Mus musculus: one gene and its partner. The protein of the gene in region 1 purifies or fractionates together with the protein of each later gene. This does not show direct contact. Links are inferred from orthologs where the notes say so. Each region holds a gene or a part of one and is shown on either strand. Other genes may lie near its edges. The genes, in order: Iars and Lars.

Region 1 (3,814 bases):
GAGCTTTGATTGTGGCAAATATGAAGTCAGTGTGGCTTTCAATGACATTATTCAAGTATCTTCCTTCAGATTTTGCATTATAGTAAACTGTTATTTCATCCGTTGGAACCAGATTGCACTAAAATAGCATACAGAAAAACTTAGAAGAGAAGCGCACTTGTTTACCAAACTAAAGGTCCTGCTGAATGAGAGCAAGTGTGTGCTGAGCTGTCATTCCCCTAAGGATACGTGTGAGTCTGGCATCCACTCTTCTGTGTTCTTTTACCCACTTCTCCCTATGGGGTAGCAGGCAGAATGTCTTTTCCTAGTGCAGTCGGCACCCTGTGAGTGCTGAGATAAAAGCTTAGCAAAGCTAACTGCAGAGCCCTGAACCAGGACAAAAGTGCCTGCCGCCTGCAGCAGTGCCCTCCTCAGACGAGAACCACGTGCCCTGAGCACCCATGCTGCTCTCCAGTTCACAGGTCCCTAGGAGTAAGCTTTCTGACTCTCAGACCTTGGAGACTCAGTGATGCCTTTTCCTGCAGGTCAAGGCTGCATGCACCTTGTTCATCTGTCCTAACAAGGAATATCACCTCAGTCTATACAGATCCAGCGATCTCTCTCCTCAGCTAAGAACCCTCCAAACTGACTTCTGTCTTACTTGGACACACTCTATCATCTCTGGTTACCCTCTGTAGCAGCAGAGAGTGATCTTTCTGGAAGATAATTCTGTAGCAGCCTTGTGGAAGCCCAAGGGAATGGAAGAAGGATGGATGGGCTAAAGCCCTTGGTCAGAGAAAGTGAGCGATACCAGGCCAGGAGTGGGTAGAGAAGGAGGGAGGGGCCTGCCTTCCCTGCGGAGTATAATCAGAGGGACCACGGATTAATGAATCATTACCACCAACTGATAACTATGGTTTATACTGCCTGCCTCGTCTCTCTTCCCCAACGTTCTAAATAAATCCAGTACAAACCCAAAGCCACAGCACGGCCCTGAAGAAACCGACTGACCTTCTTTCGAAGCTTCTGGATGCGATTGATGACTTCCCGAGCCATGCCCTCATCCACCATTGACTGGTCAGGTGTGACATCTAAGAGAACTAGAGCCTGCAGAAAGAACAGAGCGCATGGCAATGGAATAATATCGGGTCCTTCTAACTCCCTCGGTGAACTGCAGCTAGGACTGGCAGGTGGGACAGAGACAGGCGGCCTACAGATTGATCCCTGGAATTGACAGAGTCCTGCCATTTGTCCTCTGACCTACACACACACACACACACACACACACACACGCACGCACGCACGCACGCACGCACGCACGCACGCACGCACGCACACACGCACGCTGTGGCACCTGCACCCTCATACCCACGCATGTGAGACTAAGACATACATGTTTAAAAAAGACAAGGTCTTTTTAAAAAGTAGTTCCGACTGCAGAGATGGCTCAGCACACAGTGATCTTGCAAGACTCGGGCTGAGTTTCCAGGACCCCCATGGAGGCTCACGACCTTCCATATGTTTTCTAGGGTTAATTTTGGTGCAACCCAGTAACTAGGACAATAATCCTCTAGAACAAATCACGAAATGCTCACTTAAGCATCTGATAAACAAATTCAAAGGGTCAGGATCCACACAGCAGATCAAGAGAGCAGCTCAACAGGGAATGGACCGATGCGAGGCAGGTTAAAATATGTGCCCCCCACGTTCTCCTCTGCTGGTGAAAAATATTCTAGGAGGCTGGAGATGACGTCACAAGCCTGCAATCCCTGTACTCCCCAGAGGTGGAGGGAGGAGTTCCAGGACATTCTCAGCTACACAGTGAGTCCAAGGCCAGAGGAACTACATGACCTGGTCTCAAAAACATCAATCAATCAATCAATCAATCAATCAATCAATCAACCAATCAACTTTGAAGGAACACAAAAATACCTGAGCATCAGAGTGTGCTTCAAACTGCGCGGTCCCTCCCGTGGCCTGGTCAAAGGTGTACATGAGGCGAATGTCTTCCTCATGCAGTTCGTGGCCTTCCACAACAATGCTCCCTGTGGGAAAGGCAGACTGTCAGCGTGCCGTGCCCTCCCTTGATGACCCTGGCATTCTGCTGCCTACCAAGGGTTGGTGCAAGTGAAATGAGGGGACAGCGTGAGGTGCTGGGTACTGTGTGTCTGCCAGGGGCAAGCAGGAGGAAGTGTGGAGAGCTGTTGATGGGTGACGTCCTTTAGGAAAGCCCACTGTAGCCACTGTGCTAAGGCTGACTCTAGAAGTATATAGAACTGGAGGGAAATCAGGCAGATTATAACAGGACACCAGCACCCCGAGGCTGCAATAGCAAGGTGGGATACCAAGCACCTGTCTAGGAAAGTCACTGGTATTTACAGCTGAGTTCTTATGAACAGGATGAAGGAAGGGATGAAAACATTGCTTAAAGATGAAGTGGTCCTCGGGCGAGGACACGGAGGCGGACACCCACCGCTCTTCTGAAACCGCTCCAGCTCCTCATTGCTCAGCCGCTTTATGGCCATCATCACCGCTTTGAAGGCCCCCTTCAGGCGCTTCCCAAGGACCATGTGATCTGGTTCAGCCCTTAGTCGGATACCGTACTTGTTTTTATCAGTAGACAGCGTGACTTTTCGAACATTTAATTCCTACAGCGAGTACCAAAGGAAAAGCGAAACTGTGAGGCACAGAAATCTGTTTCACATTGGACATGCAGTCGAACATCCATACCAGCGCTATTCACAGGAGGCAAAGAGCAGATATAACCCAAATGCCAGTCAACCACTGAATGGGTGGGGCTGTGATGTGCACATCTGTGATCAAGGCATCAAGGCACATAAATGCTTGCCTGGAATGTGCAAGGCCCTGGTTTGGATCCCCAGTACCACACAGAGAACAAAGCAGGTGTGACTAGGTAAAAATAAAGCATGGTTTATACACACACTGGAGTGTTTAGCAAGATAAAAGAATTATGTGAATGAACTGTACAAACATGACGCTGAGCAACACAAGCCACACACAGTAGATGACAAACTGTTCTTTATGAAATGTCTAAAGAAGGCAAATCCACAGGCAGAAAATATATTTGTGATTACCAGTCGACGATCAGATTGTAGCGAATGATGAGGGAGATTAGCCTTCCTTTTAGATAGAGGGGAACGGTCTATGAGTCTGACACTAGGTGCAACTCCACAACTACATCTAGAATACCATCTGGGATGGCACAGAAATGCAATGCTCTTGTCGAGACCAATCAAGTGAGTTGAACATCACTAAAAGAAGCCAAGGTTGGTACTGGTGCGTGCCTTTAATCTCAGCATTCATAGCACAGAGGCAGGAGATCTCTGTGAGTTCAACCTGGTTTACATGGAGACCCTGTCTCAAAACAAAAACTAAAAATAAAGGGGTGGGGTGGGCCCTGAAATATAAATTCATCTCTCAAGGGCACACTTACACAAGCAATCCTGAGCACTATCATTACCATTTAACCAAGTGTGAAATCACATTACTTCATGCCACTGTGCTAGTGACATATTTCCACTAAACAGGGAACATTTGCTTTGATCCCAGCACACAGAAGGCTAAGACAGGAGAACTGAGTCTAAGACTAGCCTAAGCTACAAAGTGAGGCCCTGTCCTGACACCTCTCAAAGGCTACATATATAAATATATGTATGCATAAATGTGTAAAATCTTGGGAACCTTTCTCAGAGGGCAAATGAAATCCTGGAGACAGGGAGGGTGTACACTGGCCCACCTTTTATTAGACATACTACCCCTAGTGCATTCACAAACTGCAAATAGCTATAGTTCATCATTTGAAGAAGCAAAACTT
Region 2 (3,814 bases), on another chromosome or scaffold:
GGCCCACTCTCCCACATCAATCGGCAGTTTAGGAAAAATGCCCCACAGCCAGCCTGTAGGCCAGTCTGATCTAGGAAATCCCTCAGTTGAGCTTCCTGTTTCCTGGGTGACTCTAGCTTGTATTAAATTGATGATAAAAAAACCAATCAGCACATTTGGGTGCTGCACATTAGGGTATTAGGGCTTCTAATCACTTTTTAAGATGTTGGTCAGTTCTCTTTCCAGGGTTGTCATTTTTCACTTGCAGAATGGAGTCATTCCACTCATCTCTGAGCCTTTGGAGAATCTCCTGTGCAAGTGGGGTTTCTCCTCAGCTTTTTCTTCTGCTGCTTAAAATTGATCCAGCTTTCTTCTCTCTTCATTTGTTTGATTCTTTAACATGGGCTTCAGCCTAGGGCCTTGTACATTCTTGCAGTCTCTCTACTACTAAGCCACACCCCACCTCAGCCTGCCTCGTCCCTGCTGGAGCAGCTCTCACTTGTTCAGCCTTTCCTTTCCTTTCCTTTCCTTTTTCCTTTCCTTTCCTTTCCTTTCCTTTCCTTTCCTTTCCTTTCCTTTCCTTTCCTTTCCTTTTCTTCTCCCCCTCCCCCCACCTGCTTGTCCTTGTAGTCAGTCCATCTCTTCATCTTCTTTTTTGTCAGTTGCTAGAATTTTTAGAGGGAGTAATGTCTATTTCTAACTTACTGTTTACAAACCAAAAGCATAGCTACTTAGTTTATATTGAAGAATTGAACTTTAAGTGTGGAGCAGTGAGTCATTTTGGTAGTGGTAATATAGGATTTGAATTTTAAAAGTTATCCTAGCTTTGCAATGTATTAGGAGATATTTATATCAAGTAAAAAATAAAATAAAATTAGAGCCCATGTGGTGGTGCATACCTATCTCAGTACTTGGGAGGTAGAGGCAGGAGGAGCAGAAGTTCAGGATCACCCTCCACTACATAGCAGATGTGAAGCTAGCCTGGACTAAATGAAACCCTGCCTCAAAACACCAAAATTAAGTAAGTTGTAGTTAGTTTTCTATTTAGAACTGAATTTGTAATAGCTCTAAAGTTTATAATAAGATTTTTTAAAATGTTTAATCTATATTTTTTCTTTTTAAAAACAGTAGTATCTATTTAGTTTTTCTTTTAATTTTCTTTGTATTTTTATAACAAAGATGGAAAGCTCTCAGAAGCCCAGCCCTCAAAGCATAAGGTTAGAAAGCGCTAGGATGACGAGTAGCTTGTAAAGTGGTCCGGTTGATTCTCTGCTCAGAAGCAGCAGCTGCATGGGAAGGCACGTCGCAGCAGCCTGGGGAAGGAAGGCTGGCTTGGACATGACATCTGCCCTGTCTTTATTTACCTTCCCTTAGGGAGATGCGCTTATCTACATGGAGCCAGAAAAACAAGTGATGTCGAGGTCTGCAGATGAGTGCGTCGTGGCCCTGTGTGACCAGTGGTTAGTCCCTCTTGTAACAAGGAAATTGCGTGAGTCACTCTGGTCATTTCTGACATTAAGAAGAGCTTCTTTTGTTCACTCCCAGGTACTTGGATTATGGAGATGAGAACTGGAAGAAACAGACATTTCAGTGCCTGAAGAACATGGAAACGTAAGATGGGAGAAAGTGAGAGGGGTGCGGAGTGTGGCTGATGAAGGGAAGGATACATTTTGGCCTTTGTTCTTCTTAGATTCTGCGAGGAGAGCAGGAAGAATTTTGAAGCTTCCTTAGACTGGCTACAAGAACATGCTTGCTCAAGAACGTACGGTTTAGGTCAGCAAACTTCTCATACTTGTGTTTGAATGATTTTTGTTAGATAGACAGAAAATGCACTGTTTCCCCCCTTCCCTCCCCCTTTCTCCTGGTGTTTGCTAGGCGAGAGGATGAGAAAGAAGACCAGGATGTGGTTCCCAGTCACCCATCTAATGCTCGATAGAGCCTCTGACCCACATGGCTTTTATATTACCATCTGTTTATATATTTACCTTGTGTGTATGCGTGTGACTATGGTGTATGCATAGGTAAATGCACATCTAGGAGCAGGGTGTGTATGCCTGTGCCTGTGTGGAGGCCAGTAGAGGATGTCTGGCTCTATATAGGGATCACCTTTCACCTTACTTCATTGATACAGTCTTTTGTGGAACCTGGAGCTAGGCTAGCAGACAGAGCCCCAGTGATCCTCCTATCTCTCCCCATAGTTCTAGGGCTCAGGGATTCAGGATTTTACATAGGTGCTGCAATCAAAATTCTGGTTTTTATGTGTGTGCAGCAAGAGTTCTTACTTACTGAGCCCTCTCTAGCCATATGAGGTTTTTATTAAAGGACTCCAGCGGTTCAGTTAGCTTTGGTTTTGTTTACTTATTTTACCTTTACAAACTATAGAATTTAGGGCTTCTTAGGGTTGTGATGTAGCTCAATGGTCGAGTGCTTGCCTACCATGTACAGAGCCTTGGCTCAATTCCTAGTACCACAAACAAACCAAAATAGCAATAGCCCACACCCAGAACAGCCTGGGAAGGTCCTAGATAAGAAGCCTTGGAGATGTGGCTTCTGCCGGGGAGTCTCAGCTTCAGTCAGCATCAATTCTTTTCTTTTTGTCTCGTAGGCACTCGTCTGCCTTGGGATGAACAGTGGTTAATCGAATCTCTCTCGGATTCCACAATTTACATGGCGTTCTACACAGTGGCACACCTGCTGCAGGGGGGTGACCTGAATGGGCAGGCGGAGTCTCCACTGGGCATCAGGTTGGTACATAGTTAGGGAAAAGAAGCTCTTCAGCTGCCCACGTTGCAACATCTTGGCTTACATATTTAGAAATTGGTTCTTTCACGTTTACTTTTCTCAAGAATTTGGCTAGCAAGAGGCATTCACTTTTAATCTCAGTATGTAGCAGGCAGAGATAGGCCATTCTCTGTGAGTTGAAGGACAGCTTGGTCTACGTAGTGCGATTCTGCCTTTAAAGAAAAGAGCTTGGTTAGCAGTCTTTTGTTATAGTTCACTTTTCTACTGTACAACTGAGGAAGATGACTAAGTCGCTCCTCCTGTGCATCATGCCTTCTTGTTCTCAGGGGATCTGATGTTCTTGTTTGATAGTGTAACTAATTGAAATTTTAACACATGATTAGGTGGAAATTCTGATTCTTTCACTATAACAGTGCATTTGTTTACTTAATTTCAATGCAGACCCCAGCAGATGACAAAGGACGTTTGGGATTATGTGTTCTTCAAGGATGCTCCATTTCCTAAGACTCAGATCCCAAAGGAGAAGCTGGATCAGTTGAAGCAGGAGTTTGAGTTTTGGTACCCAGTGGACCTTCGAGCCTCTGGCAAGGATCTGATTCCAAATCATCTTTCATATTACATTTACAACCATGTGGCCATGTGGCCAGAGCAAAGGTAATGCTCAAGTCTGGTGAGGTTCGTTTATTGATAGTCAGTAAGGATGCCTTAAGGCTTCAAGCATCTTAAGGGATGGCTATGGAAGGGTTAGTTGGATTTGTTACGGTGTGCATTAATATGGAATGTGTGCTTCTCCCTGTCACATGTCAACAGCCTAAAGAGTATGCGATGTATATTTCAGGTTATCAAGGGCACTGGTCTGCTCGGTGCAGGAGTGCAGCAGTCTTAAGATAGGTTGTAGAGTGCATAATGCAGTGTGTGCTGATAACAGGGTGCTCGTGACCTTTCACCCACCACTGCACTTAGTCCACTCTCCTTTGCTTCTCCTTCAAAAGAAACAAATGTTCATACATATTCTGAGAACTGGAAGCTCTGTATTTATATTCATGCAAAGGTATATGTGCTCTCTGTTTCTTTTGCATAATTGCATATTTTC

The links.
Region 2: the proteins of Iars (region 1) and Lars purify together in Homo sapiens (affinity purification with mass spectrometry; 7 studies listed by BioGRID and IntAct, counting the BioPlex papers as one, with this or other methods). This does not show direct contact. The link is inferred for Mus musculus from reciprocal best matches to the Homo sapiens genes IARS1 and LARS1.

The regions. Positions count from the first base shown.
Region 1 is NC_000079.6:49,723,431-49,727,244, reverse strand, and holds part of Iars (isoleucine--tRNA ligase, cytoplasmic), read right to left. Parts: intron 2,628-3,814; coding exon 2,453-2,627; intron 2,025-2,452; coding exon 1,912-2,024; intron 1,087-1,911; coding exon 991-1,086; intron 119-990; coding exon 1-118. UniProt on the Homo sapiens protein: Catalyzes the specific attachment of an amino acid to its cognate tRNA in a 2 step reaction: the amino acid (AA) is first activated by ATP to form AA-AMP and then transferred to the acceptor end of the tRNA.
Region 2 is NC_000084.6:42,227,567-42,231,380, reverse strand, and holds part of Lars (leucine--tRNA ligase, cytoplasmic), read left to right. Parts: intron 1-1,353; coding exon 1,354-1,439; intron 1,440-1,524; coding exon 1,525-1,590; intron 1,591-1,669; coding exon 1,670-1,752; intron 1,753-2,584; coding exon 2,585-2,723; intron 2,724-3,162; coding exon 3,163-3,375; intron 3,376-3,814. UniProt on the Homo sapiens protein: Aminoacyl-tRNA synthetase that catalyzes the specific attachment of leucine to its cognate tRNA (tRNA(Leu)).